4 linked regions of the Rhinolophus ferrumequinum genome follow. The main gene of each other region encodes a partner of the protein of the gene in region 4 in a complex. Links are inferred from orthologs where the notes say so. Each region holds a gene or a part of one and is shown on either strand. Other genes may lie near its edges. The genes, in order: DLG1, LIN7A, NRXN1 and CASK.

Region 1 (7,127 bases), on a different chromosome or scaffold from region 4:
ATGGGTGACAGGTACATATAGCAGTTCATTATACTGTTCTCCCTATTCTTGCAAATGTTTTTTTAAAGTTATAATGTTAAATTTTTTTTAAATTGTTCAGGTGTTTTGAGTGGTCTTCTTTAAAACCTTCTTGAATTCTAAAACAAATTCAGTAGAAAGTATCAATTTACCACCCCAATAAATTAAAAATAAATTAAAAAAAAAAGTATCAATTTACCAATAAGTTATCTGACAGGGTACACTAAGTTAAAGGTAGTCCTTAAATCATATCAAAAGTTATTTTATCAATAGATATATGTACGCCATATCTACTTGGAAGTTACTGAGGAAACAACTATAATGCAATGAAGCATACATCCTATTTTAATATGTTATACAGTCAATAACTAATTAAAAAAATATTTCATTCTTAGAATTGAAGGGGACAAATTTTCTACTTCAATGGTTCGCACACTTTTCGAGGCACCTGGAGAAGAGGCCAGAGATAGATCACCTTGTTTTATATAATGGGGATTGGTTACAAAATATAAGATTTTGTTTTAAAAAAGGATCTAACTACTTTGAAAAAAGGCTTAGTAACCACTGTTGCATTGCACCCACATATTACAGTTACCTAGAAAAGATTAAATGATTTGTATAATGTTATTTGATTAATGACAATGTCAGGAATAGAATTCAGGACTTGTAACTATTTGTCCAGTTCTCCTTTAAAACAATGCACCATCTCAAATTTAAGTTACAATTAAGAATAAAATGGTTTCAATTTTCTTGTCTATAAAATAAGATTGGACAAAATCATCTCTAAGATTTTCCAGATCTAAAATTCTGACTCCCAGTTTAAACAGAAGTCTATGTTAATGCAACGAATGTTCTTACACATAGCAAAACTCTTCAAACATTTTCAGGCACTCCAGAGAAATTCAAGTCACAGAAACAAGCTAACAGTTATTCAGTTGTTACCTTTTGGGTTTGGAAACAATTTTGTAACTACTCCCTTTTTTAGTTGTTAATGCTAGGATGTGAAATATTGTTTTCTAAGACTAAAATAATCATACTGAAAGCTTTTTCAGTTCTCAGATATTTTTGAAAAGGATATTGGCCTATCAAAATATACAATTCACTGGATGTTAAAGTTACTGAATGCCTCACAGAGAACTAAGTACATCACTCTCTTAAGTCTTAAATAAACAAATTCAGAGGAGCATTAAACCTAGCTGACACATAATGGTCACAAATAAAATTTTAATTCCCACCTATTAAAGCCTGAAAGAGGTTGCTCTGAAATATGTTTATAACTCGTTCTATGGAACTTCTGAGCTGTCTGTCTTCAGTCTGGCTTAGTTTTGAACGATATTCCTCCAAAAGGTGCAATGCTCTCTGGGTATCTGAGAAGAAAAATAGAGTCTGATTAAAATTATATATTTACAAGAAAGTATTACACACTAGCTATGTAGCAAATGATTCTCTAAGACAGCTAAACAGTTCCCAAAATCCATCTCGTCAATAGATGCTACTATGTTCATGTATACACATATTCCCTAGAATGATCCAAAAAAAATTTAAACATGTCACAGTAGAAAAAGGAGGAAGGTGAGTAGTTTGTAATAAATGTGTCTGGTAGGTAGACAATAAAAGATAATTTGATAAAAGTATTAGTAACATAGTTTCAGCTGATCTGATATGCAAAAGCAGATTATCTACAATTGGTCATTATAATCCAAAGCTTAAATGTTTCAAAATACTAGCTCTTAGCCAGTTCCACATTTGCTCACAAAAGTGTTTAGTAAGAATGATAATGAAATATTAAAACACCAATTCAGAGTTTTTAAAGACATTGCAGAGGGGAAAAATTGCCTCTTGATAATCACTAGAGAGATGCCAAGGTAAAAAGTTTGACAAACATACAGGTGTTTCCATCTTCTGAATGACGTGAGGCTTAGATTCCCTAAGTAGTAAGGCTAGCCAGCACTGTGCCATCCCATCAGAGTTCCACAAACATTTTTAAAATACAGCAATGAGAAAAAAAAGGCATACAGAAAAGCAAGTGACATCCACAAGAGATTTCCGAAATAAATTCTCACCTTGCTTCCGGACCGGCATTTTTCTCCAGAATCAGGAAGAGTACACACCTTTAAAAACACAAAACAGAAAGGAAAAAGAACTAAAGAAGAGAATAGAATCCTGGCTAAACTAGGATTTCCCCCTAAATCTCAAATCGAAAAACTCCCAGCCGTATTTGAAAAGCTCACCTGGCAAAGTTTTCCCAAGTGAAAGGAAGGTCCTCAGTGTCAGTCAATTTAGACAAGGTTTTACCTAGGGGTGGGCACCTCTCTGCAAATTAAGAGCAGGCAGAAGTCGGCTTCCAAACTGTCTTCCAAAGCTGCCCCCTCTCCAAAGGGCACTAAATGCCTAGACGTGGGGCCATCCCTCCCCCGGCATAAGTATGCACACTCCCCACCTGCTACTGGCGGGTGTGGGGGGAGGAGTGAAGAGGCGCTCCGACCCTTAGCCCCCTAAGCCAGCAGAGGCTGTAAAGCGCTCCGAGAAGGGACCAGCGGGGCTCATCACCCCGCCCTACCCGGGCCCCTACCTCTCGCTTGCCTTTCTCCTGGCTTGCTTCCTCCGGGCTACTCCAACAGGGGCCGGACAGGGCAGCGGCCGCTCTCCACGACGCCCTGGTGCCCCACATGCACACCTCCGCGGGCCCCCACACCTGCGGCACCGCCACAAAGTTCCTGAGAGCGGCGTGCGCTCGGAGCTGGGGTGCGCTTCGATCCGACTCGGGGCGGTTCCCCCGCCCTGCTCCGCTCCACGTCCCCCCGCCCCGCCCGGGGCAAGGAGCTGAGCTGAGGGGGGTGAGGGAACGGGGGAGGAGCTCCCCTCGGCGGCCGCACCCCCACTGCCTCTTCCTCCTCCTCGGCCGATGTCGCCGCCGCCTCCTTACTCGCCGCAGCCAGCTAGCCCGCTCGCCCTCTTCCCTCCTAGCCGCCCCACCCCCGGAACCTCGCCTCCTTCGGCGCCCCCAACCGCTCTCCCCCCAAACTTTCCGCCAAGATGGCGGCCCCGGAGCTGGATTGCCGCGCCCCCACGTGATCGCTTTCCCGGCGCTCTCAGCCAATGGGAAGTGAGGAGGCGGCTCGCGCCGAGCCCCGGGCTCTCAGCGCTGCTACCTTTGGGTTGGAAAGGGGAGGAGGGCCGGGAGGGGCCTGGGGAACGAGAACGGGGACCAGGAGAGCATCCCAAGTGAACCCCCTCTCTTAAAGGGGCGCCACCGTAGAGGCTCTGAGGACAAAGGAGTGACACATGGACTCTACAGGTGGTCTGGGATGGCCCTGGCTGAGCCCGCCTTTACCTCGCCCTAGCCCACCGGTGTGTCCCTCTGTTCTGAGCGAGTAGCGAGCCAGACCCGGGAAGGTCGGAGTGTCTGAAGACAGACGTGACTTCACCTATACGAGATCCAAGACACACATTCCGAGACACCCTTTAACCTCACTAAACACGTGCTGTTTTCATCTCCGCGTCAGGAGAAAGTGCCTGACACCCCGAGGCTTGGATCCCCAACCAAGAAAAGCGGTCTCGGGGTGGAGTTGACTGTGCCACCCACGTTAGGGGCGGGAGAGAATGGGGCCTAGGAAGGGAGCAAGGGGGGAGTTTGGGCGGGGGGTGGTACCATCTCTGCACTATGTTCTACTTTGTACCGATCTTTTTAAAGTTACTATTCAGTAAAAGGTTTTGGGGGGTTGAATTAAAGAAGGGCACGTAAAATAAGAAGATTGATAAGAGTTTGAGGGTTTTACTAGAGGAGTTTTAAGTCTAAGTGATTAATTCAAAGCATGAATACATTTAATGATGGGAAGAGAAAATTCGTTCCTTCTTTCACTCTCCCATTCATTCATTCCCCCCTTGCCTGCGACACCTGCCTCGTCATAAGCCTCAGGTATTACCCAAGCTCAGGCGGCCCCTTTAAGAACTCACCTGCAGCCACCTCCTCTGAAGCACAGCCGCCTTAACTCGCATTGCTGGTTTAAGTTTCGACTGCACCTCCGAGCGGGACTGCGGGCGGGCCAGGACCCCGTTCAGGGGCTGAGCTACCCAGGTTGTAGAAAGAATCTCGCGGAAAGCTCTCCAAGTCACTGCCCAGGTCCTTGAGCCCCTTCTAGATAACAGGGACCTCCCTGCTCTGAGATCCAGAGAGAAGAATTTGCCCAAGGTCACCCACAGTTAGCGACAAAACTGGAAACACGGAGATTGTGTCTTTCAAAACCGAAAGACTCTTCCCAGTAAACCCGACAGCCTTTCACCGAGGCCATATCCTTGGAATAAAAAGGAAGTCTGGGGAACCTTGTACTGTAACCATTAACAGAAGTATAGTGATTCAGAAGTATAGTGACCACTAGTTTCACTTTGGGATTGCACCTTGAAATTCTAACTTGTGAGAACCCACCAGACCCACGCAGTTTAAGATAATGAAACCGAGATCCAGAGAGGGGAAGCAACTTGCCCAAGGACATATAGCCTAATCAGTGACAGCAGCCCAAAAGTAGTTCTCCTAGTTCCATTCCGGGCTCTTTCCACTGTGATTTTGGGGCAACTTGACAGTGGTATGTTGGTATAATGGCATCAAGCAACTGTTAAAGCAACATTTCATAGAAGAAATGGGATGGAAAAGTGAAAGGAAGCTCCTAAAGACAAGGAGCTTGAATAGAGGGATTTTTGAAATAGTGAAATGGGTTTTTTTTAATAGTGAAAATGGCTGGTGCCATGCATACTATTATTATCAAGATTTCATTGACAAACTGTGATTCTATTCTAAGAATGGAATCTTCAGAATTCAGGAAACAGAGGAAGGGATTTTGCCCTTCTCCTTAATATTATTCATTGCTCACAAGTGTTCACTTGCTAGGCAACGTAGATAGAAATAAATAAGATCCAAGCCATGCTCTCAAGGACCCCACAGCCTAGTAACAAATGGATGAAGGCCAGTGCAGCTTTTTCCAGGAGCCACTGAAAAGCCAAAAACAAAATTTGTGAGTTTTCAATGTCCTCCTTGTCCTTCCCTAAAAATAAAGGGGGGAGGAAGGAAGAGGAGACAAGAAGGCACGATGCCTTTTCTTGTCATCCTCTAGCCCCACGTGGCTGTCAGCATTATCCAAAAGTAAAAATGAAGCTACCCGCTTGTTCCACCCTTAGGGGCCAAGACAAGTCCCAGCCTAATGTGAGGGGCCTTTACTTCCCATTCCTCCTTTCTATCCATCTGTATTAGTTATCTATAGCTGCATAACAAAGTCCTCAAAGCTGTCACTTAAAACTTAGTAGCTTAGTAACTTAAACAGCAATAAACATTATCTCACAGTTTCTGTGGGTCAGGAATTCAGGAGGACCTTCGCTGGATGGTTCTGGCTTGGGGTCTCAAAAGATTGCAGTCAAGATGTCTATCTGGGCGGCAGTCATCTGACGCCTGAGCTTAGATTAAGGGAGAATCTTCCAACATGGCTCACTGACATAGCTGGTAAGTTGATGCTGACTCTTGGCAGGAAGCCTGTTTCTCACCATAAAGATCATTCTACAGGGTTGTTTGAGTGTATTTGTGACTTGGTGGCTGATGTCCTCCAAAGCAAGTGACCCAAGAGAGCAAGGCAGCAGCCACACTCTCATTTCCACAATATCCTATTCGCCTGAAGAGTATAATATCCCCCTGAAGAGTATAATACAAAGGAGGAAAGAATCACTAGGGGCCATCTTGGAGGCTGGCTACCACATCGTTGAAACATGCAATGCAATGGCATCTGGATTTTTCTAAACAACTTTTATTTCCTTGAAGTCTTCTTTACTTTATGCAGGTAGCATCTGCCATTGAATAGGATCCAATGTAGGATCTGATTACTTTTCCAATCTCCTCATTTAAAAAAAAATTTTTTTTTTCAGCCCCAAATTAGCTATCTCTCAGTTCTAAACCTTCCCTTCCCAAGCACCCCAACTAAGCCACACTTATAGCTCCACGTCTCTAACTCTGTCCTCTCCCCTGTTCACATTCCCAGCCTATCCTCTTCTGTAAGGTGCCCAGGTCCGCCAGACTTTACTGCATCTTTTGTTTTCACTCTGGCCGAGTGGCAGTGTGCTGCCTGTGCCAGGCAATCACTAAAAGGAAAGGATTTGATGCTGTCAGAAATGCTTATGCCAGTTTATGCTGCATGAAGAGGAACAGTGTTGAGAAAATGATGGAAGTGATTAAGCTGGTCAGACCTCCACAAAATGCTCAGGGGGGCATTTCCTGGCAGCACACTTTAAGAGGGATCTAGACAAACCAGCATCTGGAAAGAAGAGAGTAGCCAAAACGATAGGGAATATGGAACCTGGCCCCAGAGGAACAATTGTAGAATCTAAGGCCATTTCTTTGAGAAAAGAGAGGACCCCAGGGAACTTGACTTCATTCTTCAAACAGCCTTATTCTGTGTATTCAGGGGGCAGGACTAAAACTAATGGATGAAAATTACAGGGATATAGGAAGTTCCTCTTTAACATGATTTCTCAGAATTGTTCTAAATTCCAAAAAGCTGCTGGAAGGTGGTGGGAGTTTCCCATCAAGCAGAGGCTAAAGAATCCAGCAAGGCTTCCTTCTCAGAGGGAGCAAATACCCAGGCCAGCAAATTGGACTAAGTGACCTCTGAAACCAAAGTTCTAAGCACTTAAAACTTCAGTCCCTTCTTTGGTATCAGTACCATGTTATATACATCAAGAATCCATTCTACCCAGTTTAATTGATACTGGGATTGACCTCCTTCTGCATAGATAATTCTTATGAGAACAAAAGGTACAAGTTGAAACCAATTCTTTTTAAAATGTGGACAGTTGCCCATCTCCATGACAATGGGCACTGAACTCATGCTCTTTAATGGATGATCCACCCTCAAAATTTTATATTATGGAGTAATGGGTTCCGAAGTAGGTGTAGGACTAATAACCGCCTGCCATTTAAACTGGTATACTCTTATACTGGTATACCCCTTCATATAGTAGTCAATGACATATGAGATGAACTTATTGGTTATAACCTCCCACTTTGCAGGAGAGGACACTGAGAAAGGACAAGATAAATAACATGGTCTAGGACACCATTGCTAAGCTGG
Region 2 (7,839 bases), on a different chromosome or scaffold from region 4:
TGACTCAAGATTGAATATATTAATTTTTTTAAGGTGAAATGGTAATCAAAATATTTTTTAAACTATTAAAAGTTGTGGGTTCTAAAAGTTTGGCAATATCTCCTAAGTAGATGTGAGAAAAAGATGAATTCAGTATCACTTTTAAAAACCATTTTTATCTCGCCTCTCTTATATCTCTTAGGCGTTCCCAATGGTATTTGCCAATGTAAGGTTGGGATGAAATAAAATTGTAAGCTTTGAATTTAAATTTCATTGTAAAAAGATCTAACTTCTAACTGTGAAAATAGAAAAAAAAAGATTCATTTCAAAAATGAAACAAAAACATAATTTTATATTCAATGAGTTAAATATGCATAAATAAAGCACCCTAGTACTAGAAAGACTTTGCACTTATTATATGTGCTATTGCCTATGGCAGATTCAGAGTAAAAGTTAATTATTATACTTACGATTTGCATGTAATGTAAAATAATGGAAATAAGACCCTGCAACCGAGGAATAATTATTCAGATTTCAGATTTTCTTCCCTCAAAGTTCTTTTCTCTTTCTTTTGAAAGAAATAAAAAATAGTTAGAATTGACTTTTAATTTTTTATTTCATCTTTAATTTTCTAACATCCAACTCTGAATTAGTAACTCTTCATTTCATTCTGATGTTAGTAATTTTTAATGTAGATCTACAAGAGAAGTTTTTTTTCTTAGTCCAGACTGTATTTGTATATTTCATTTCATTGTATGATGGGCACACAGTAAGTCATGAAAATGTTCATTAAATTTCTGTTAATTATGTTATTTTTCACTACCTGACTCTCAATGGTTGTCGTATCTTTTTTCTTTTTTCTTTCTTTCTTTCTTTTTTTTTTTTTGGAGAGCTCAGCTCACAGTGACCCACGCAGGGATTCAACCTGAAACCTTGGTGTTATCAGCACCATGCTCTAACCAACTGAGCTAACTGGTCACCCCAGTCTTGTTTTTCTTATACTGCCTATTTTATGCAAACACATACCATGCCTACTCTGGCTTTATGCACCATCCCTGGCTTTACTCTCCTGCTCCTAGGAATGCCGTTTCCCTACCTCTGTGTTTTGTAATCCTGACATTTTTCTAAACCCAATTCAATTGTCAAATTTTTCATTCTTCACACAGTACTTAGTCATTCATTGTTCTCTTTCTTGTTTACTTATTACTTTGTTTACTGTCTCTCCCCAGCAAAACCAGGGCCTTTTCTTGCTCACAGCAATCCTAGTGCCTAAAACAGTGCTTGGCATATAATCAGTACATTATGTATTTGTTGGATGAGCAGATACATATGTAGTTGTCAGAACAAATCTAAGGATAAAATAAACATAGAAAGATTTTCTATGTATGATGATTTTTTAAAAAAAAAAATCCACAAACATTCATATTCCAAAGTATTGGTTGGCACTGCATCTTATTCTAGTGCTATTTTGACAAAGCTGTGAGAATTAAGGAAGATAACATGATATTTTGAATCAGTCAAAAACAATTTCTAACACCAAAGGCTGAAAGAATTCCACTTTGAAGGTGCTATTTTCCTCATACGTAACTGTGCTTATTATATTCCATTTATAATCTAACTAAACACATTTTCTTAGTATGCTAATGTTTTATGCAAACCTTCACTTAATTTTGTCACATAATTTAAAAGATTCAATTAAGTGAAACAGACCTTAACGTAACGTAAATTTTTTAACAAGAACAGATTTTATATTTCAAGGTAGGTAGTCATTTTAATATTAACCTATATTTATATAGAATGGAACCAGTATCATAATTCTTTTCTGCTTTGACTTAAATTTCCTCTATACATTCCTCTCTTTGAGTATATCTCAAACATAATAAAAAAGGAAAAGGATATCTATGAATAGGTGATAGATAAATACAGACATAGATATAGATATATAGGTATATACCTGGAACTCTGAAATAAAAGGCTGAAATCACTAAATCTTCAATAGTACAAAATGAAGTATGTTTTTTAGTGAACAGCACAGGGGCTTTTGAATACAGGTGTTATTATTCTTAAGCAAATTACTTAAACTCTCTGATTCTCAGTTTACTTATCTATAAAATGGAATAACAATACTGACTTTTTCTGGGCTGAAAAAAAAGGAAAGAGAAAACAACTTAGCACCGAGCCTGGAATATATAAAGTGGTTGGTATTTACTGAATTAATGAATTCCACTAAAAATATAAGTGCCAATGAACTAAATTACGACACAGAGTTTAATGAAAAATTGTAGTGATTGTGTAGTCAAATTGCTAAAAGTATAATCACAGGTGTTTTAACCATTCTCTGATTAATACACAATCAACACAGCAACATACACATGTGTACATCAAGTATATTGACCTTGATGAAACACTGGTTGGTACAGGAGTGGTCCACGCAATTATTCAAGAGACCTAAGAATGGTCAGTCACATCTACTAAAGTAAAAGAAGAGAGTACGGAAATTTTCTTATGTCACTGCATGTCTCAAATAGAAATCCACATATGTTATTGTAGAGACAATAGTAATTCATACTTCATAAAAAGTGAATTCTAACAGATGATGAATTGTTTATTATTCATTTTCTATAGCTGTGTAGGCATAAACTAAAGGCATTGAACTTGCCCCTACTAGAAATAATAACTGATGAGTATATGGTGATTTGCTCTTCCTCTTACTTTCTCTTTCAATCCTTACAAAAACTCTAGAGTCAACAGAGAAGAATGATAGAATAAATTTTCAGTTAGGGAGCTCAAGGCATATGTCCAGAAACATGCTATTAAATGTTTGGTGCTGGGGATACATCTGGAAACAAAAAGACGAAAAGCCTACATTTGTGGATATCACAATCTGGGATTTGTGTTGAAATAGGTACAATTATGGTTTTTAGACTTATGAATCATGCCATTCAAATCCATATTCATAATAAAGTAAGTTCTTAAAAGAACTACATTAGTGGGCAAGGGATTTGTATGTCCTTTTCATCCTCAATTACTGAATGAGGTTTGATATTTTGTGCAAAACCTTGGAACATAATCTGCTTTTATTGTGCACAATTCAACTTCTTTCTGTTGTGTGATTTAAGGGATATGAATAATGATAATCAAGCAGAATTGTTGCTTTTACCTCTCTCCCACAACACTTCCTTTCTGTGGTGCTTAGAGCACTTACTGCATGGAATTCTCTTAGCTAGTTCATTATTGGTCTCCCAGCCTGAACTGAGCCCACTGTCTGAGGAGAGGGCCACGTCTTGTGTAAACCTTTGCAAGGCCAGCACCTAGTAGGGTGCTTGCCACACCCTTCAGGTGGGATATATGTTTGTCATATGAATAAATTTATATATAGTTTACTGTTTCCAAAGCACAGTCACATGCATAATCTCATCTGACCCTCAGAAAATTCAGTGAGATTGCAGGGTAGAGTTAGGTCGCTCACTTTACTGAATCTCAGTGATAGTGGAGCTTATTCCCTTATTCGATAGATGAGGAAACTGGGGATAAAGGAGAAATTATGTGATTTCTGAAGAGCACAGAACTAAGATTTGAATTTCAAGATCAGGTTCTTTCTAAAACACTAAATGAAAATATAGGCATGTTGAACTATTATTTTAAGGATGTCTTTTCAGGTCTGTGAGGTGTATGGCCAATCGTCTTTGACTTTCTCAAATCTTTGGTGAAATCTTGCTTTCTTTTTGAAAAATGTAGAACATGGATGGAAAAGATCTTAAGAAATCATCCATATTGTGATCAGAAGACAGTGACATACATTATATGTCAATGTTTTGCTATAAAACAATATATTGCTAGCCAAAACAATTCTGTTCTGTCAGAGGGAAGAGGGTGGAGGTAGCTTTGTCATTTATAATCCTAAACCCACAGTCATTACCATTCTGTTTATATAAGATTTCTATTTACTTCTTAATTTCTTTTTTTAAAAATTTTTATAAGAGTTTGTATTAACCAAACTGATAACATAGGCTGGGGAGCAAAACCTCAAATGCTACACAACTTCTTAAGTTCTTTATCAGGAAATGAGAGTCTCAACAATGGCAAGATAGTAAAAGCAGTCGGTTGGGATGATGAGGTCGTAGCCGGTATTTGAAGGTTCTAGTAACTGAATCCTGATCAACTGACTCTAAAGTCACCCTTTTAATAACATCATGTCCCACTAGATCATGAGCTACAAGAAAACAGGAACTGTGTTGAATCCCTAAGTCAAGCCATGGCACATGGAATGTAACACTCCTAGCTCAGTTCCTGACACACATGCTAATTAATAAGTGGCAATTGAATAACCTCTGGCTATAGATCAACCTGAAAAAGTGCTATGTAGGTACATGTTTTACAAGTGTAATGACTGAACGTCTCTTTGTGTTTTTTATTTAAAAGTATATTTAAGAAGTTTGCTTTTAAGATAAGTTATTTTCTAGGCAATATACTCAGGTACTTAATGGACACCACTTGATGAACCTGGCCTTAAGTCAGTTATCTTGTATACTGTTATAAGTCAACATTCTAAAAAAAAAGAAAAAAAAAGAAACTTTAACAGAAATTAACAGCAACTATAATTAAATCCCAACATTTCTGAACTAGAAGCATTTTCTCTCCAGGTGATGGGATTACAGGATTGACAATTTCTCTTAATCTGAAAAACATTCATCTTTCTACCTCCCTCCCCCATACCACGTTTCAATCCTTTCCCTTCCCCCAGGCGCACGTATACTCTGACCATTTTATTTGCGTGGAAAGTTGAAAGAAAGCAACACACCAGCTACACCCGTCTGGTGCTCCTTGGGGTGGAATAGCAAAGTTCTAGCGCAGAGCCTTTCTTCCCAGACCCGCGACGCAGTCGCTCCCCGATACCTGCTCAGCCTCACGCGGCATCTGAAGGTCTGGCCTGCCGCGGAACAGTTGCGTCTCCATCTGGCTGCCAACCCATCCAAGCTTTCTTCTCCTCCACCACCACCACCACCTTCCCTCCTTCCCCCCTCCTCCCCCTCCTTTCCGTCTTCCCTCTCCACCCCCGCCCCCAATCTCCTCCTCTTTTTCTCACTACAAGCGGTTGCTGATGCTGAAGCCGAGCGTCACTTCGGCTCTCACGGCAGACATGGCGACATTGACAGTGGTCCAGCCGCTTACTCTGGACAGAGGTAAGGGAGCGGCTCGCCGGTCAGGCCACTGAGTCCCCTCTGCCACCTCCTCAGTCCCTGCCAACTGCCACCGGGACAGGCGGACGCGCTCGGGCAGGGGGAGCAGAGCGAGCGAGGACGAGCGGAGAAGGCTAGGCGTTCGCGCCGAGAGCAGGATACTTTCTTCCCCTTTCTCTGCCCGCCACGTCCCCGCTGCCCCTTCAAGCTGCACTCGCCCGGCCCAGCGGTGCCTTCGCCGGACTCTGGCGCCCCCACAGCCACTCCCAGCCCCTCGCCGGGTCGCCTCTGGGCCGCTGGCTTTGTTGGAGCGGAGGCGCGGGGACCGCTAGGCTCCCGGGGCTCGGGGTTGCGGAGGGGCAGGGAGGAAGCTCGCCGAGCCGGGCGGGGGCGCCTACACACCCGAGACCTGGAAAGCCTGGCGGGGAAACCGCCAGCCAGCCAGCGCGGCCCGGGGTTCAGGAAGAAGGAAGTTTGTCGGTGCGCCGGGGGGCGATGGTCGGTCCGGCTATGGGTGCCTAGGCTGCCACCCTGGGGCGGACGGAGCGCAACCAGGGGCGGCTGGTGTTGGGGCGCCCGGCGGCTGGGCTGCGGCAGTGGAGAGCTGCCCTCCGCCGAAAGGGCAACGCGGGGCGCAGGCAGCCGTGCCCCGGCCGAGGGCGCAGCATCGCGGCCACGGAGCCGGGTTCTTCCCGGCTTCGCGCTCCGAAGGCTGCGGGAGTCGCATCTGACCCCGCCGCCGCCAGCTTTCTGGCAGTGGCAACTCAGTTTCCCCTGCCCCAGCCATCCTCCTTCTCTTCTATCCGGTGCCACCGCGGTGCCCGGGCCGCGGAAGGCGCTGGGATGCAGCGCAGGCTGGGTTGAAATTCAACTTCTGACCTGTGACCCTGTGCGTCCTGCTGACTTGAATGGGGAAAGCGAGTTTGCTTCCTCCCCAGGACCTCCCCCTGCCTGAGGATGGAGTCCTCTGCTGTGATCGGGGTTTCTCTGCTGCACCCATGAAAGGTTATACCTGTCCCTGTGTGTTTGGTTTCCTATCTGCTCCCGACGTCCAGTTGTGAAGGCGCTCTAGTCCCAAGACCCTGCAGCGGAGGACACCTGCTTGTCCCCCTCCGCAGCGGCCGAATTTAAGACCCTGGGCGGCCATTTAGAAATGGTGTGTTCAGACGAAAACGATTTAGTTCGATGTGCCTCTAAACATAGTCTTTCTAGTGGATTAAACTGGACAGTGAGGCAAGGCAAAAGAGCATCCTGCTGCGAGTACAGTGAAAAAGCCAGTGAACTTGATGAGGTTTTTAATTTGGAGAGATTGTGGGTGACTTTAACGCAATCTGTTGGCGCCAGAACAGATGTTATGTGGTGCCCATAGCAACCTTAGTTGGCGTAAGAGTTGAAAAAAAAATTGATTTTAGGTTGGGAAATGTTGATTTGCAAAGTAGTAAATTAATAACAGTAAGTAGTTGAAGAGCTCAGAAATCCATTGTATAATCCATGATTTCACCCAGATATCATCATCTGCACTAAACAGGACAAATCCATTGCTGCTGAGAGCCAAACAGATGGCAAGCTATTAGAAATTATGGATTTCCTAAGTATTTCTGTTTTAATGTAATGAGCTCTTATATTGTCCCATTACTAAATCAGTCTTTAAATATCTCAAGTAAAACGACTACGTTAGGAGAAAAGAAAAAAAGAAGAAAAAAAAAAACTCCAGGAAAATTGCATACCTGAGCAATTTTCTATACTACTGCCTACTACTGAAAATACTTCCCTTTTTGGTTTTACCTTAGCCCTTAGATGCCTCGCTCAGTTGTGGAAAGGAAGTACAATCTGACCAAGATCCATTCTTCAAGTTTGTTCTTGTTCACAGCCAGACTACCTATCCTTCCCAGTGTGATCAGTTTCAGGCAGTAAAGTAGCTCAAGAGGCAACGCTGGGTGAGACTGTGGATGTATCTGAATAAATTCACCAGCAGCTCACTGCAGTCTGTAATTTATAGATGATGGGTTATTGGCCGCAATTTCCTACCAAAAATATTAAATTAAATTAAATTGAAATAAAAGGAAAGGAAAGGAAAGTCTCTTAAAACAGGCAGCCCTATAATACTTATCTGGGTCCTAGTTGTAACTCTGATACTCAGTTTGGATGAGTAAGTTAGTTAGTCTCCTTGGGCATCAGTTTTCCTCTGTGCTACATAAGGAGTTTGGCTTACATGATTCTGATGCTGTGTAGCTTTCATTTGATTAATTATAATTAGGACTCAGTTTTTGGTCTCCTACTGGAAGATTTTCTGGATCACCCCTTTCTCCCGGGTTGTTTTGATGCCCTTTGCTGTGCTCTGAAGTCACTTGCTGCTTTGGCCCCATCAAAACATTTCTCACACTCTGTTGCATCTGTCTCCTGATTAACTAGAGCTCCTGGAGGGCAGAGACCATTTCTAAACTCATCTTTGTATTCTCAGGGCTTGACATAGTCCCTGATTACAGTAGAAAATCACAAATTAATGTAAGTTAGTGTCAGTGAACTAAGGACTGCAGTAACTTAAGCACTGTTAAAATGTAGGGATTTAGTAGTGACTGAGGTGCAGTTCATAGATTCACAACGTTTTGGCCCTGGGAAGGATGGCAGGGAGAACATAGGCCAGTATGTTCTTTACCTTTCGTTTTCCCTATACACTTGT
Region 3 (7,561 bases), on a different chromosome or scaffold from region 4:
GTGTCCTCTCCCTGAGAGACAGTTTCATATGATAAGATGATGGACTGGATAATTATTAATGACTGAATGAAATTCCAGGAATGTGCCAGCATCTTCTGACTTATGTAATTGTTTTGCTGTGAGGGATCCATGTCCAAAGTCCAGGGGGTTGACTGCAATACTGTGTTTTATAAGATATTTGGTCTTCATCCATAATCCCTGGCTCACAGCTTCTCAAACCCTAGGACCTTCCTAATTGGGAGAGTAATCGAGGCATCTGTGGTTTTGTGAAGAAGGTGACTTTAGGACCACACCCCATAGTGGGGGCTGGTTGCCAGGAGACCCAACTGGATGACTAGAGCTTTGGAACTTTCCGTCCCACCATCCACTGACCTCCAAGGAGGGGAGAAGCCCTGGAGATTGAGTTCAACTGAGTGACTTAACCAATCATGAATATGTAATGGAGCTTCTATAAAAACTTTGGAGGACAGTTCTTTGGTCTTTCAACTTCAGAGAGATTTCACACTGGGGAAACAAAACACTTCCAAGTGCCACCATGCTGGGCCCAAACTCCACAAGGACAGAAGCTCCTTGGCTCCAGAACTTGCCCTTTGTATCTCTTCATCTGCCTGTTGATTCATCTTTTAATATCCTTTGTAAAAAAAAAAAAAAAAATTGGTAATCTCGTGAGTAAATGGGTTTTCCCCAGTTTTGTGAGCCATTCTAACAAATTAGTTGAACTCATGAAGAGGATGGTTGGACCCTCCAATGTGTAGCCAGTTAAACATAAGCATAGGGCCTGGGCTTAAGCTGGCCTCTGAAGTGTGTGTGTGTGTGTGTGTGTGTGTGTGTGTGTGTGTGTGTTGAAGGTGAGCGAGGGCTCTTAACCTGGGGAATCTGATTCTGCTTCCAGGTAAATAATGTCAAAATTGCATTGAATTCTTTGATACCCTATTTATGTTCAATAATTGTTTGTTGGTGTCGGGGGAACTCGTCCTCCATGTTGGAATTGGGTTGGAGAACCCCATTCATGCAGCAACTTAATGGAACCAGCAAAAGTCTTGAAAGTTTACTGTAGTACTCTTTCATTTTTTGAAAAAGCGTTTCAAATAAAGAACTGTGAAGTTAAAATGACCTCAAATAGTCTTCCTGCTCTATTCTCCACCATTGTATAGGACAATAATATAACCACTTTAATAAAGTATCAATTTCAATGTGCAATGTGTTTGAAAATTCTACTATATAAAACTGATGCAATTCAGGGCCTCATAATCCTTATAATACAAAAAATACAAAAAATAAAAATAAAATAAAAATACCCTTTAGGTCCCAACCCCAAAACTTCCCCACTAACATTAGGATGTGAATGCATTTTTGAAAGTGACAACTATGAGGATATTTTGTATACAGGCAAAACAATCTCATAGAAAAAGAATTAAACAATGCACGTTACGGGACATTAAAAGCACCTGAGTCATGTTTCCAGAGATACTCTCTATTAACATATTGGTGAACATCTCCAGTGGTAATTGTGTTCATCTACATTTGCTCTTTTTCTTTTGAAGCCTTTTAAGAAATTATCACCAACATGTTTTGCTGTCATCGGTCCACTTTTCCACTTCCACAATTAACCAAACCCTGGCTCCTTTAACTGTGACCAAAAGGCTAACATTAAGTTTATATTTCAGATTTCTTATTATTTTTTATTTCTCAAATCTATGCCAGGTTTGAACAATTTTCAAAAGAGCCCTGCAATGTGTAGGTTTTAAACAAGCTGTTTTAGTCTAATGAAGACAATAGTGAAACTCTGCAATAGTGAAAGAACCAGTATGACAAAATCTGCTTCTATGAATAACATGTCACAACAAGTACTTAGTAAGCAATCAAATACTTGGCTTGGGTTTCTTTTTGGTCATGGGACTTCAAAAGTATTTTCTTTAGAGAAACTCTTTCATAAAAAAATATAATAATAACAATAAAATAGAACAAAATAATAACCAAAAAATAAAGTATTAGTCTTTGAGGAAAACTATTATTTAATCAACACAGTATTTTTCACTTTATTCCCAAACCTGGACACAGGCATTCCAGTTCAGTATGATTTTTTTCTTTACGCATCCTCCTCCCTACCTCGTTTCATTTTTAGTACATTAGCTAGTTAATTTTAAAAAATATATTAACCAAATCAAATATATTAGGGCACTTAATCTCGGAAAATGTAAGTTTATTTTAGGAAAACATAACAGACCTGATTATTTTGGTGTACATGATTGGTACTACCTGTAAGCAGAAACATATTTACCCAGGAGATGTAATGGAGGGAAAAAACTTATCATGTTTGGATGTCCATATACTTTAAAATAACTGGGGCAACTTCATTCAGCACAGCGCCGAGAAGTAGAGCCAGAACTAGGGTGAGATATTTGTCTTTGGTCCAAAAATTAAGGGGGTGGGGCCCTGAAAAACTCAGTTATCAAGATGAACAATATTTTAGTGTACTATTAAAAAATAAAATCAATCCCAAAATATCCATGGTGAACAAAAAAATGAAAATGTAAATACTATGGAATTTTAATTTATTTAAGTATTATTTTACTTCAGTTTCAGTGTGGCTTGACACAGCATTGTATCCTGCTTTTATTATTTATTTTCTATCATGTAATCACCCCTGAATTTTTACACCCAAGGCAAGTGCCTCATTCAGCTTACCCCAGCCTTGGTCCTGCATCGGAGGCTTTCCTTTGACACTATTGAAAGATGTTAACAGTTTCAGAAAATACAGTGGAAATTCAAGCTACCTAATTTTTTCCCTCTCAGTTGTACTTCATGAGAGGATTTAACATCTTTATGCAGAGCATCTCAAACTCTAAAACTGAACATTATTTACTTACAGATATCCATGATCATCATGCACCCGTCTTGAACCAGATTCTGGGTGAATATGTGTAAGGGAGGGTCTAGGAATCTGTATTTTATAACAAATACTAAGTGATTCTGTTGCCTGTTGTCCGAGAACTATTCTTGGAAAAACAGTTGGGTAGACTGACAGCTATTCACTATTGCTTGTATCTGTTGGCAGAGGAAAGTGTGCTAACGGGAACTATGTGGTAAAAAAAAATGGCCAGAGACTGCGCCTGGTTCTATTCAAAACAATGCCAAAAAAAATTTAAAAAGACTTGGCATTTTTATATCTCTTTAAGTTTTCATGGGACTTTCACAGCAAGTGACTTTTATTAGATTATGCAGTTTGGAAATTTAGATTAGAATATATTTGATATGCTAAAAATGACAAGAATTGGTGAATGCTATGCTTAGGTGATTGAGACTTTAATTTTATTTACCTCGTGGGAAATTTATCATGTCAACTATTTTACATTTAAAAATATTATAACTGAGTAAGAATTACATTCAATAAATTATACAATGTGTAATAGGTCCATATGCTTATAAATAAACCTACAGATTCTTACAATGAGAGCATTATTTTTTTTTTATAATCTCATGAAAAATTAATGTAGGTTTTCTAATTTTTACCTCTTTTCATATCGTGTCAGCTTATTAGTGTTTATGATAATCATGTTCCAGGAACTACACATATTGAAATCACCTTGGCTGTTCAATAAAATTCAGATTCCTGGGCCAGTCCAATAGTGAAATGGATTGGAATTTTATAAGAAAGAAGCCCAGAAATTGAATTTTTAACTTTCACCCCCGCCCCATAAAATTCTGTTGTATCCTAAACCTGAGTACCACTGGGTGATAATCCTTCTGTTTGTGATATATACAGAGGGTGCCAAAAAAATATAGACACATTTTAAGAAAGGAAAAAACTGTTTTCAAATTGTAATACAATGAATGACGCTAGCATTCATTTGATCAATGCCATCTTTTGAGCGAATGTCATGCTATACATTGCTACTGTACTTAATTCAACTTTGAAAAGTAATACATAGGTAACATCTCCTAAAATGTGTACATTTTTTGGCATCCCCAGTATATGTACTATATATAAGGTTTTGGTGTAGTAATTTGGTGGGACGAGCCCGTCTTCCAAGGAGCTCTCTCATTTCCCAATTAGCCTCCAAATGCAGAGGAACATATGACTACTCTTCCCTATGTTATAAACAGCAAAATAATGAAATAGCACGACTAATAACAAGAGTAGTGGCTGAGCAAAAATTGTAGTTTGGATTTCTCTCTGGTGCTTTTTCTGGGGAGTTTCTGGTTTATGTTATAGCCTATGTCCATAAGTGTCCTTATGGGCATGAGAGCTAACATACAGAGCCAGACTAGTAATCATCTGGCTGTATATATAACAGCACTCCTGCTCTAGAAATGTACCTACCAGAAAGTACAGAAAGGGCTTGTTCTCAATTTTTGTATTACCAGCATCAATTACTTATTACTTTCCTTCCTGAAACTAAAACATTTAAATTTTGGCCTACGTAACCAACACAAGACAACAAGTTCCATGAGTGCACTGTCATCCATGGATGACACAGAGGCGCACTTCTGTTCACGTATCTATTCATAGGCTCCATATCACCCCTCCTTCCCTCCATATCACTGATTCTCTGCACTGTTCTCTCTCTCTCTCTCTCCCTCCCTCCCTCTTTCCCTCCGTCCGTCCCTCCCTCCCTCCCTCCCTCTCTCTCTCTCTCTCCATCCATCTTCCTAAACTTTGACTGTGCCCTCAATCCCTATCTCTTCCAAATTAAAGATTTATGATTTACTAGTTGACTTCACACATACAATTGAATACATTTAACAGACTTTCTAATGCCAAAGCTTCCCACTATCTTCAGTTAAAAAGCATAATCAAAGTCAATAAATACCATTAATCCAAAGTCACAAATCCAAGAACTAAGGTCTTTCCCTGTGAAATTCAAGTCTAGAAAAATCAGCTGCTTATTACACCCACTCAAAGTCCCATTTGAAAATAAAAGCCTCTGTAGTTAAGGCAACAAGAACACTGATAAATATTTCTTAATAGTCCTTGCACAGTTTTATCAGGAAGCACATTGCCTTTGCGCTATTAAAATTCTTATTACTCTATTGAAGAGGCTTAACAACATAAAAACAATAAGAGGACAGATCTAGCACACAAGAGTTTGAGGAACAAAATAAACGATGTCACGTAATGCCAGTCCTTCATGGATGATAAAGGAATATAAATGACAGCAGAAAAGAGTCACCATATTTCCATCTCACTTTCCTTAAGTATTGGTGGCAATTCATTAATTGTCTCACAAAAGTTTCTTATTATGAAATATACAACAATTACTTATGAGGACATATCATCATAAATTATTTATAAAGATACTTAGGACATTTGATCACCAGACATGTAGGAAACATATTTACATATTTAGCCTAATGCATAAATATGGACACATGAGTGATTCTTTTCTTTTTTTTTTTTGAATTGTTCAATCTTCTATCCCAGGAATTTTCGTTACTGTTCTAGATGAGAGATTAACTTCTGAGCCATAGAAACTAGCCCACATTTTAGTGCCATCATTAATTTCTGAATATCACTGATATTAGGTAGCCTTCTGAATAGTATTCAGAGGGGAAGATCAGTGGTTCCGAAAATGTCCACTAGCCAGTGTTACTTGGGTTCTCTTGTCAGACAGCTTAAAGGATAACTTGGGCTCTCCACCCCCAAAATAAGACTGACTTTTTCTGTTTAAACCATGCTTCACTTTCAAAAAATGCACACTGGTTTACTTTAAGAAAACAATTATTATTTAAATTGAGATGCATGCAAAAATATGATTAAAACCTCTATGTCCCTTCCTTCAACTTCAACAATTATTAATTCATGGACAATCTTATTTGTTCTGAGAAATTGCTGCATTACAGTTTCCTACGCTCTGGCGTTTACAAACTGCATCTCGTGGTTTAAGGTAACATGCTTCAGTGTCCCCTACATCTCATATAAATTAGAGGCGAGATCTAGAGACTTGATTAGATTGAAGTTAGGAGGTTTGGGGAATACTGCTTTATGGAAAACATTATGCATTTTATTCAAGAGCTGTTTGTCTTTCTTTGGGTAATGTTAGGAATTGATGATCATTATTTAAATCTATTATTTAATTAGAGGTTATAAAATAGTGATATTCTAATTCATTCAATCCTTGTTAATTTATTAACTGAAATAGTCCTATAAAGAGTAACTTTATTTTATGAACTATTTAGTTACCCTGAGTCATAGTTCATATAGAAAAAGCTGGACAAATGCCTGTTTCCTTTATTTTCCTGTGTTTAAAATAGTGCCTTTATTTCTACCATCCAAATGTCAACAATGTGTTATTTTTGTTTGCTTGAATTTTGTTTGTGTTCAATATCTTTATGATTCATGCGTTTAAATATTTTAATGGATTTTGGTCCATGGCTGTTATTATGCTAATTGATGTTCAAATTTTGTCATCTTTGGCTACTGACAGTCTATTTAGGTTGGTTCTCAATTACTTCCTGAGAACACTGGTATTGTTTTTGAGTTTCCTTGCTCCACAATCTTCATATGTAATATGTTTAACAAGCAATAGTGATAGCCAGTATGTTATTTCATTACAGGTAAAGGAATGGCAATATTCTAATTCTAGAGTATTCAAGAATGGTGATATTCTAATTTTATCATTCTTTCTTCATTTATTAGATGAAGAAATACATTCGCCATCAACTCTTTGGATATCTTGATGTATAGTTTGTATTGGAAAGGCAGAATACATATTTTTAAGGATATCTTCTTATTTATTGAGATTTTAGAATCTTAATTGGTTCTCTAGAAAAGGTCCCATAAGTGACTGTGGGAGAGTAAATTATTGACATTAATTCTCCATCCTATCTGTGTCTACATCCTCGCTGTTACTTTTAAATTCATTTTTAGTAGGAGCAGAGTGTGCTTCCCTTTCTTTACTTCGGGATCAGTCATGAGACTTTGGCTAAAGGCATGTTAGCAGCCATGAAGCAATAAACAGCTTGACATGTGCTTGTTTGGTTTGGCTTTCTTTCTGGCCTTCTGTCATTATCACAAGAGGAACATATTTGCTCCTGACCCAAGGAAGATAACAAAAATGCAGGCGGGAACTGGACCCCTTCTGCTGCTTGGAATCAAGCCCAGGCAAACCCAACTAGAGCAGCTGACCTCCAGGAGACCTCAGACCCTGAGGAAGAATCCTGGATTTTGGCTTAAACCATGGAGTTTTGGGGTGGTTTACTTCACAAGATTATTGGTAATGAATGACTGATATAGTGACCAGTGAGAATTTTATAGTATTATTAACTGATAGATCTTAAGAGGTTTGCTATGTTTCAATCCGCTTATTTTATTATTAGAATATTAGTCAATGTCTCACTTTTATCCAGTAAAAGGAGTCTCTTCAAACTGCCTCCTAAATCTGTTTGATCTAACAGTAATAGTCTGATAACTTTATTGTTTTCTGTTATAACCAGATTTCCCTGCCTCATTTGTACATTTTCTGCCTTCCTGCCCCAGGCCTGGATCAGCCATTAACCTAAGAAGCCCGGTATCCTTTTAATGTGAAATGTTACTTACACACAACAATGTTGGTGCTAG
Region 4 (7,723 bases):
GTAGGTGGTCAACTGGTCTTGAAAAGTGAAATCCATTTTAAAGAATCTCAGTGAAAATTTAAACTTATTAAGACCTAGGGGTCAAAACCAACTTGTGATACTAATTTGGCATAAAAGAAAATCACAATTCCAGAGAACTTGGATAGAAGTCAACAAAAAGGTTTTCAGTACAAATGAACATCTTCAAGGCCTTTCTGTTTAAATCCAGAGTTGAACAAATTCTAAGTTAAAATGTATGCTGTCAAGGTTCCTGTAAGAAAATCGCAAGTGAATTTCAATTTCCAGATCAATATATGCTGAGACAATTTACCGGAGAAACCTTCAACCTTTACACAGGGTGAGGAACACTATCATTACATGCTTTCCCACAAAGGCTACCTTGAATTTCATTATTTCATGGAATGACATAAATGGCACTGACCAAGTCAGATTTTGTAGGATATGAATGAGATTTCACATTCACATTAGTTAAGGTATCCATAGAGCACCTATCACCTCAAAATTAGCTTGCTCTCCCTCCTTATGCAGCTCTGAGGCAACAGAAGAGATGAATTTACTTCGATCAGAGGTGTTTCCTGAGAATATTGTATCAGTTATAAGTCAGCAGAATATTGGTTGTGCTAATGCGATGCTGACCACTTCTTTTCGATATTCAAAGAGATCACATCGTCACTCTTCCAGACCTTAAGGAATCAGAACTAGTAACTAACATTGATTCAATGATGGCTATATTCCATCACCACAATATAATTAACATTTTAATCTCACAAATTCCAATTATGACTTTGCTGGCTCATTTAAATAAAATATAACTAAGACATAACAAACATCATTCACCCATACAGACACAATCATTGGGGGCTTAGCACCTAATTCACCTTCACTGGGTGCTAAGAATAAAGAAACCAAAGGGATTTTTTTTTGTTACGTATTTGTCTGTCTAGAACTGTGCTATTCACATATGACTACTGAGCACTTGAAATGTGGCTAGTCCATCTAAGGAACTAAATTTTATTTAATTTAAATTTAAATTTAGAAAGATACTTGAATCCATTATTGGAAAACTTTTAGGTATGTTTGGAACAACTTGGGTATGTGAATCTACTTTTGCAAATGCAAATTTTATGAAACCTAAATACAGATCAAGTATTTCCTATGAAAATGTAGCGTAGTGTCAGAATTGAGATGTGTTGTTAGTGTAAAATACACATTGGATTTCAGAGACTGAGTATGACAGGCTGTAAAATATCTTAATAATTTGGATCTATTGGGTTAAATAAAATATTTTATTAAAATTAATTGCATCTATTTGTTTTTAATATTTTTAATATGGCTATTAGAAAATTTACATATGCCAAATTTACATATATAAAATTACATGTGGTTCACATTATATATCATTTGGACAGCGCTGCTCTAGAGCACTTCCACAATTACTTCACCAGGGGCACATTTGGATATTCTTATAGTAGACAGGCTGGTCATGTAACAAACAATAGGGACAAGGAGTAACATGTCCTCCTATCAACTGGGTCTGAGGAAAGTGTGCAGCAAGCTCTACCCACAATTTCACCATGTGAGGAAACACTGTAATACCTCAACATGGAAGGGAAAAAATGAGTTATCAGCACTTAAATTGAAATCCAGCCCTGCAGACAACTTAAAAGAGAGCCAACTGCTCTAAGATCTTCGTTTCATTTCCCAACTACAGACCTTAAAATAGACAATAAAGCACCGCTTCCAAAAAGAGGTGAAATATTTCAATGGTAGCTATCTAGTAATCCTTAAAAAATAAGCAAGAATTGCTCTTAAATTTTATCTCAACTTCAAAACCCACAGAATACACGTTGAACTACGAAATCAACTTCAGATTGCCAGCATTTCCCAAACGAGCAAATTAGCAGGATTGTGCACTTGGAATACTGTTTGACAAGAATGAAAAGGAAACTATTCAAAACAGATTTAAGGAATGGACAATTAGATGAGGAACTGCAGATTTAATTCTCAATCAGCACTGTGATTAATCTGATTCCCTGCTTTTCCCTAGTGTAATTATACAACACAGATGAAAGGATGAGCATTTGGACTGTCAGTTCTATATTCTAGACCAGCCCGGTGACTCAAAGCAGACGGCTCTACCACGCTAACCACCATCCCAACAACAGTCGAGGGAAGCCTTGAACACTGATTTAACAGTCATTGCATAACGAGGCATTAAAAATTCGGATCCCCCCAACTCTTTCCACGTTCGTCTATACCAGGTGAGGAATTTGCTGAAACTGAACGTACCCTGTCTCAAATGACCCCCTCCGATCCGGGCATGGGGTGAACACAAAGACATCTATCTAATATCCTGCACAATAGACACACACCCCACAATTAAAAACCCTGGACGTTCTCTTTCTTTCCACGCAAGCAAAGGAAATGCAAGCTGCTTTTTTTTGTCAATGGTCTGTGCTACACACAAGGTAACAATAATCCCAACTGTTCCCAGGAAGCAACTATAAAATCGGTTCGGCCACGTCCCTGTGCAACCGTCAGATAAAATGCAGACAGCAGATTTCAGCCGGCCCCACGCCTCAAGGGGTGGCCGACCTCGGCTCGTTCACCTCCACGGATCGCTGGGAACTCCCCAGACCCCCGCCCGGCAGGAGGTCCAGGTACACGTCTATAAATGCTTGGGGGTGAGGAAGACCAGGGCGGTGGAGGTGAGGGAGGGCAGGGGGCAGGCCCGGAGCGGGTGCGGGTACGGGAGAACCCGGGCATCACTGAAATGCATTTTCCCACATTCCCGCTCCCTCGCGTGAAGACTCACTTGCCGATCACCTCGCACAGCTCGTACACATCCTCGAACAGCACGTCGTCGTCGGCCATGGTCCGGAGGGGACAGCGGCCGCAGCGTGGAGGGCTCCAAAAACGCGGGTGGGGGCGCCAAAGAGCTCAGTGCCCGGCCCCTGGCTCGCCTCCTCCCCTCAGGACTCGCGAGCCCCCGGTACTGAGGACGCTCGAGTGGGGCGCGAGGCCCAGAGACTGCGGCGCCTTCCTCTGCGGGCGACTGCCCCGGCGCGGGCGGCCGGGCCGGGGCGCGGGAGCGAGGGCGGCCCGGGCCCGGCGCCGCCCGCCCGCCCGCTGCTCCTCGCGCTGCTCGGGCCGCGCTGCCCGGCGTGCGAATCTTCTGGGACCGCGCGGCCCGGCTCTCCGCTCGTCAGCCCGCGCGGGCCGCGAGGTCGCGACCGCTCCCTCTGTTGAGGCTGGCTCGGGCACGGCGCGGGGCAGCTCGGGCTACAGAAGGGGCCGCGGCAGGACCATAGAGGGAGGATCGCCGCGGAGGGAGGTGGCGGCGGCAGATCGGCGCTGGGGACCAGGAGGCGGCGGCAGAGACGCTCCCTCCTCCTTCTACTCCTCCCGCTGCCGCCGCCGCCACCGCCGCCGCCGCCGCCGCCCGCCTGGGAATGGGAGGGGGCTTCGCGGGACTGGCTCTCCTTGCAGGCGGGAGCCGTGGCCGCCGCCTTCAGCTCCTCCTCCTCCGCCTCAGCAGCCGACCAGCTCGCCTACCCCGCGCACCCGCCCGGCGCACACACGCCCTCCTCCCGCTACAGCCGCGCTGCCTCTCCACCCACAGGCCCCGCCCACTCCAGCCCGTCGGGGGGCGGTGGCCCAAGGAAAGGGAACAGGGATGAGTGGCGCATGCGCGCGCCGCCGGTCACGTCACGGCGAACGGGCGGGTGCCGCGGTTCTAAAAGGGGCGGGGGTTGGCCCACGGGGCGCGCGGGTGGCAGCTGCTTAGGCGGTGGCTGGTCCGGGTCGTCACCTCCGCGACCAAGCCGCGGAAGGGGCCAGGACAAAAGGTCCACGACCGAACGCATGTTGTTGGCTGTCTGCGGCGAGAGGCTCAGAATCCCAGTCGCTCTAACCCCCTTCTTTGTAACCACAGGAAGCCTTTCCCGGTTTTTGTGGGAAAGGGTCCTAATGAATGGGAAAACAAGAGGTGGAGAGGTTGTCACTCTTCTAGACTGTGCCAGGCGGCGAATGCTTTTAATGCCACTCTGTCGTTCTTTAATGAAAAGGAGGGCTGGATAAGGGGGGTCGTCCACCTACAAGTACCGGACCAAACAAAAACTGTCCACGAAGGTGTGCAACAACAAATGGCAATTTATAGGGACAGCTTCTCCCGCATTCTGCCCAAACTTAACAAATATCTACCCAGCTCCTGCCCCCTCTCGAGACAGCCTAGAGAGAGGTCAGGAAGGCAGGAACAAACAGGCTTTAAGCCCCTTTGTATATTGCTCCCCACCTCCCGTCAAGCCCACAGGACCTACTCTGCTCCCTACACTCCCTATAAATGTTAGACAATTCAGGATAAAAAATCAACTAGAGGGAGTGGATGCACAGGGTCAACCAGGGAGTGCGGTTCTGGGTGTTGCCGCTGTGCTAGATTGTATTCAATATGAAGATTTCTGTTCCACTGAGCATGTGCGGAATGAGCCAACGCCATCAGACAGGTATATGGCTCAGTTGAGGACCAATAAAAAAAAGTCTTTGTTCCTCTGCACAGCAGAAGTGCCCAATTAGTTCATAAGTCGGCTTCTAGAAATCATCTGGTAAAATTCTTAGTGCGGTAATTTAAAAAAAGAAAAAGAAAACATAGTATTTACCAAAGTGTGTGGGGTGGGTGGAGACCCACAGCCTATTTTCTCTTCAGAAACGTTTTATGTACATCCTTGACCACTCCCTCCAGAGGCTGAGAGATTTGCCACTGTTAAGGATTTGAGTACTAAACCTTTTTTTAAAAAAAATGCAAATCAGAGGAGAAAATATAATTGTATGAGGAGACTTTCCTCCTTTCCCAATGTGCTTGTGCATTCTCTAGAGAAGGGAGCTTTAGAGCCTGAGAATTGCTTCTGTTGAGGGTCCCACATTTCATTTGGTGCACACTATCCTCTCCCTTAGTTACATTTAAAATGTAGATATTCCTGTACTAAATATTGAAATCCCTTAAATGGTTGGAGCTGACACTGTAAGTGCTCCACTCAAATTCCTTCCTATCCGTTTTTTTACCTTTCTCTGTGCCCCTCCCCCAGCTGCAGCATGTTTTTGCTTCCAAAGCCCATGCCTGTGACTTCAGAGGACTTCCCACAAGCTACTGGAATCACTTTGCCTACATGGAAGTGCCTGGGAGTTTAGGTCTGCCCCATCTGGCTGTTAGTGCAGGAATGTGAAAGCCCAGCTCCCTTCCCTAGGAGAGGGGACAACTCTGAGAGGTTACTTACATCCTGAGCTTCCCTGTGGGATCAGGTTGCAGCTACCCTCCGCAGGACTTTGCCTAGCTCCCTCCCCTTCCCTTTCCTACCTCTTTCATTCCCTAATAGGTTTCTCCTGGGAGTACTTCCTTAATAAATCATTTGCTCATGAATCCCCTTATCAGGATCTGCTTTGGAGGAACCCAACCTAAGTCAGTGGTGTTTCTCAAAGTGACAACTGCATCCATGTCATCTGGGATCATATGAAAAACGTTAAAACTTTTTGATTCCTGGGCCCTGCCCAAGACTTACTGAATCTAAATCTCCTGGAGGATAACACAGGGATCTATATTTTTAAAAGCTCCCTTAGTGACTCTTGTACACCTAAAAATTAAGAACCACTGCCCTAACACTGGCCTCTGAATAAGCTCACTGACAAGAAAAAAGGAGCCAGGGCTGACTTCATCACTAGGGTGGAGAAACCATAACAAATGCAAAAGAACACTTCAGGGAGCAGAAGAGGATATGAATACAAATGTGTTTCCTTCTGTAAACCTCTGTCTAAAGATTCATTTTACCCTTCTTCCTTTAATATCAGTGAACAAGTCACTGGAAACTTTTGTTTGACAGTAGAAACAAGATTGCCTTTGGACACAGCACAGTGCCTGTATACACTGAACATGTTGTAACTCAAAATGAAATCAAAAGGTATCCATTCATTGAGCCACTTAAGATCACAAGTGCTCATTGGCCTCCTGGGGACTCAACACTGTGCTATGTGCTAATGGAGACTGCAATAGTCAGGATTCTTTTGGTTACAAGTAACAGAAAACTTAAACCAGCTTAAACAGTACAGAGAATCCTTGGCTTACGTAACTGAAAAGTTGAGATGTATAATAGCTTCATGTGAGGCTTGATCTAGGACTCAGATGATGTCACTGAAAATCCACTTTCTCCCAGTCTCATCATTGTGCATTCTGTGGTACTGCCTTCATCCTTAGGTTCCGCAAGGTGGCCCCCAAAGCTCCATGCTCTCCCCTTGAAGTAGCAAAATAACTGCTACTGTTCCAGACTTCACCTTCTTATATATCAGCATCCAGGAAAAGAGGAGTCTTGTCCAGTAGATCTTGCCCATGTTCTAGGATTTATTGTCTCTTGCTTGCCTTGTATTAAGGCACATGACCATCCCTGAACCAATCTCTGTAGCCACGGAATGAGTCACTGAATCATTTAACCAATCAGGCCCCACCCTCAAGCTGGGCATGAGAATCAATCTCATGGCTGAGAATGTAGGGATGGGAAAAGTCCCCAAAGGAAAGTCAGGACACTTTTTGATAGGAGAAGGGCAGAATGAATAATGGGAAGGCTCCCTGTTCTCCTAGATACCCAAGCGCTGGCATTGGCTTTTTCTTAGCACTCTACTTTCTCCATGTTCAGCTAGTAATTAGACTCTGTCAATTTTTCTTTCAAAATTTCTTTTGGATTGTGCCTTTCTTTTCCACTTCTTCAGTCTCCACCCCAATCAACTCCACCCTCAACCCGTACTTAGATGTTGCCTCACTTTACTCACTGGGCTCCTGCCTCCAACTCCTTGTCCCATCTTGCTCACCATGGAGAGGCCCAATTCAGGTCTATGAAAGAGAATTCTCAGCATCTAGAACAGTGCTTGGTATGTAGTAGGTATTCAAAAGGCATTTGTTGAATGATGAATGAATGAATGACTTCATAGCCCTTATCACTTCCTGGAATTCTCTTTTATTTGTTTTGTTTATAGCCTTTCTCCTTCAACTCTTGAATCTAGAAAGTGTCTGGAACATAGTAAGTACTCCGTATGTGTTTGTTAAATAAATAAATAGTTGTATGTTTCTTGATTTGGATTAGAGAATCAGTCATAATTAGGAAGAGATTGAGGATCCAATAGAAACAGTTAAAGTGGTTGGATTCTTGGGAAGAAAATGCATAACAGAAAAAATACAATTTTCACAGATGAAGGGAGAGTCAATAGTATCAGAGCTAAAGAAGTATCAAGAGAGCAGGGCCAGAAAAGGGGGCATTGGATTTATTTCTACTAATTGAAACTAGTTCTACGAGCTATATTTTGTGTAGAAAAAAACAAATTTAAATCTCACACAGCATTTAGAATTTTTCCTTCTGACTTAGCTATGAGAGATTTTGAAGGTAAAGTGGGGAATTAAATTTGTACCTCCTCCTTAAAATTTCCTTTTCTGTATTTCCTGGTGCTTTCTTTCCAGGCTGCCACTAAACTGTCACACTACATGGTAAAAATGCACAATCAGCTGCAGTGTGTCCAATGGGTGACTTATATTAAGCCCAGATCTGGCTAAGTTGCAAAGAGTCGTGTAAGTCACCCAATGCTCAATAGAAAGAAGCATAATTTACTATGCTAAGTGCACTGAGGAAAAGGTCAAGTGATTAATAAGTCACCAATATGAAATACAAGCCTATCAACACTGGTAAGTTTA

What was found.
Region 1: the proteins of CASK (region 4) and DLG1 are in contact, whole or in part, in an NMR structure (PDB 1RSO), measured with the Rattus norvegicus proteins. The link is inferred for Rhinolophus ferrumequinum from reciprocal best matches to the Homo sapiens genes CASK and DLG1. Residues at the interface, in XP_038955489.1 of Rattus norvegicus: Gly339, Ala342, Ala343, Arg345, Ala346, Val347, Gln349, Val350, Ser353, Leu354, Glu356, Ile357, Leu360, Thr361, Asp367, Leu368, Phe370, Leu371, Ser373, Val374, Phe375, Asp377, His379, Leu380, Thr382, Leu383, Leu384, Asp385, Leu386, Tyr387; in NP_036920.2 of Rattus norvegicus: Arg4, Asp7, Thr8, Arg10, Ala11, Leu12, Leu14, Leu15, Tyr18, Lys21, Leu22, Glu26, Asp27, Leu30, Ser33, Ile34, Arg36, Val37, Ser39, Ile40, Phe41, Ser43, Leu45, Phe46, Leu49, Ile50, Gln53, Glu57, Val58, Leu60.
Region 2: CASK (region 4) and LIN7A share a complex: the UniProt entries of both Homo sapiens proteins name them as parts of the brain-specific heterotrimeric complex. The link is inferred for Rhinolophus ferrumequinum from reciprocal best matches to the Homo sapiens genes CASK and LIN7A.
Region 3: the proteins of CASK (region 4) and NRXN1 are in contact, whole or in part, in a crystal structure (PDB 6NID), measured with the Homo sapiens proteins. The link is inferred for Rhinolophus ferrumequinum from reciprocal best matches to the Homo sapiens genes CASK and NRXN1. Residues at the interface, in NP_001354650.1 of Homo sapiens: Pro500, Met501, Gly502, Ile503, Thr504, Leu505, Lys506, Ala516, Arg517, Val549, Gln553, Leu556; in NP_001317021.1 of Homo sapiens: Lys468, Glu469, Tyr470, Tyr471, Val472.

Annotation. Positions count from the first base shown.
Region 1 is NC_046285.1:51,451,075-51,458,201, forward strand, and holds the start of DLG1 (disks large homolog 1), read right to left. Parts: upstream 3,002-7,127; 5' UTR 2,602-3,001; exon of another isoform or gene 2,591-2,601; intron 2,332-2,590; exon of another isoform or gene 2,250-2,331; intron 2,130-2,249; 5' UTR 2,101-2,129; coding exon 2,082-2,100; intron 1,386-2,081; coding exon 1,254-1,385; intron 1-1,253. UniProt on the Homo sapiens protein: Essential multidomain scaffolding protein required for normal development. Recruits channels, receptors and signaling molecules to discrete plasma membrane domains in polarized cells.
Region 2 is NC_046293.1:74,413,301-74,421,139, reverse strand, and holds the start of LIN7A (protein lin-7 homolog A), read left to right. Parts: upstream 1-4,823; 5' UTR 4,824-5,080; coding exon 5,081-5,162; intron 5,163-7,839. UniProt on the Homo sapiens protein: Plays a role in establishing and maintaining the asymmetric distribution of channels and receptors at the plasma membrane of polarized cells.
Region 3 is NC_046296.1:35,472,919-35,480,479, reverse strand, and holds the start of NRXN1 (neurexin-1), read right to left. Parts: upstream 3,003-7,561; 5' UTR 2,871-3,002; intron 1-2,870.
Region 4 is NC_046284.1:92,023,694-92,031,416, reverse strand, and holds the start of CASK (peripheral plasma membrane protein CASK), read right to left. Parts: upstream 3,017-7,723; 5' UTR 2,875-3,016; coding exon 2,816-2,874; intron 1-2,815. UniProt on the Homo sapiens protein: Multidomain scaffolding Mg(2+)-independent protein kinase that catalyzes the phosphotransfer from ATP to proteins such as NRXN1, and plays a role in synaptic transmembrane protein anchoring and ion channel trafficking.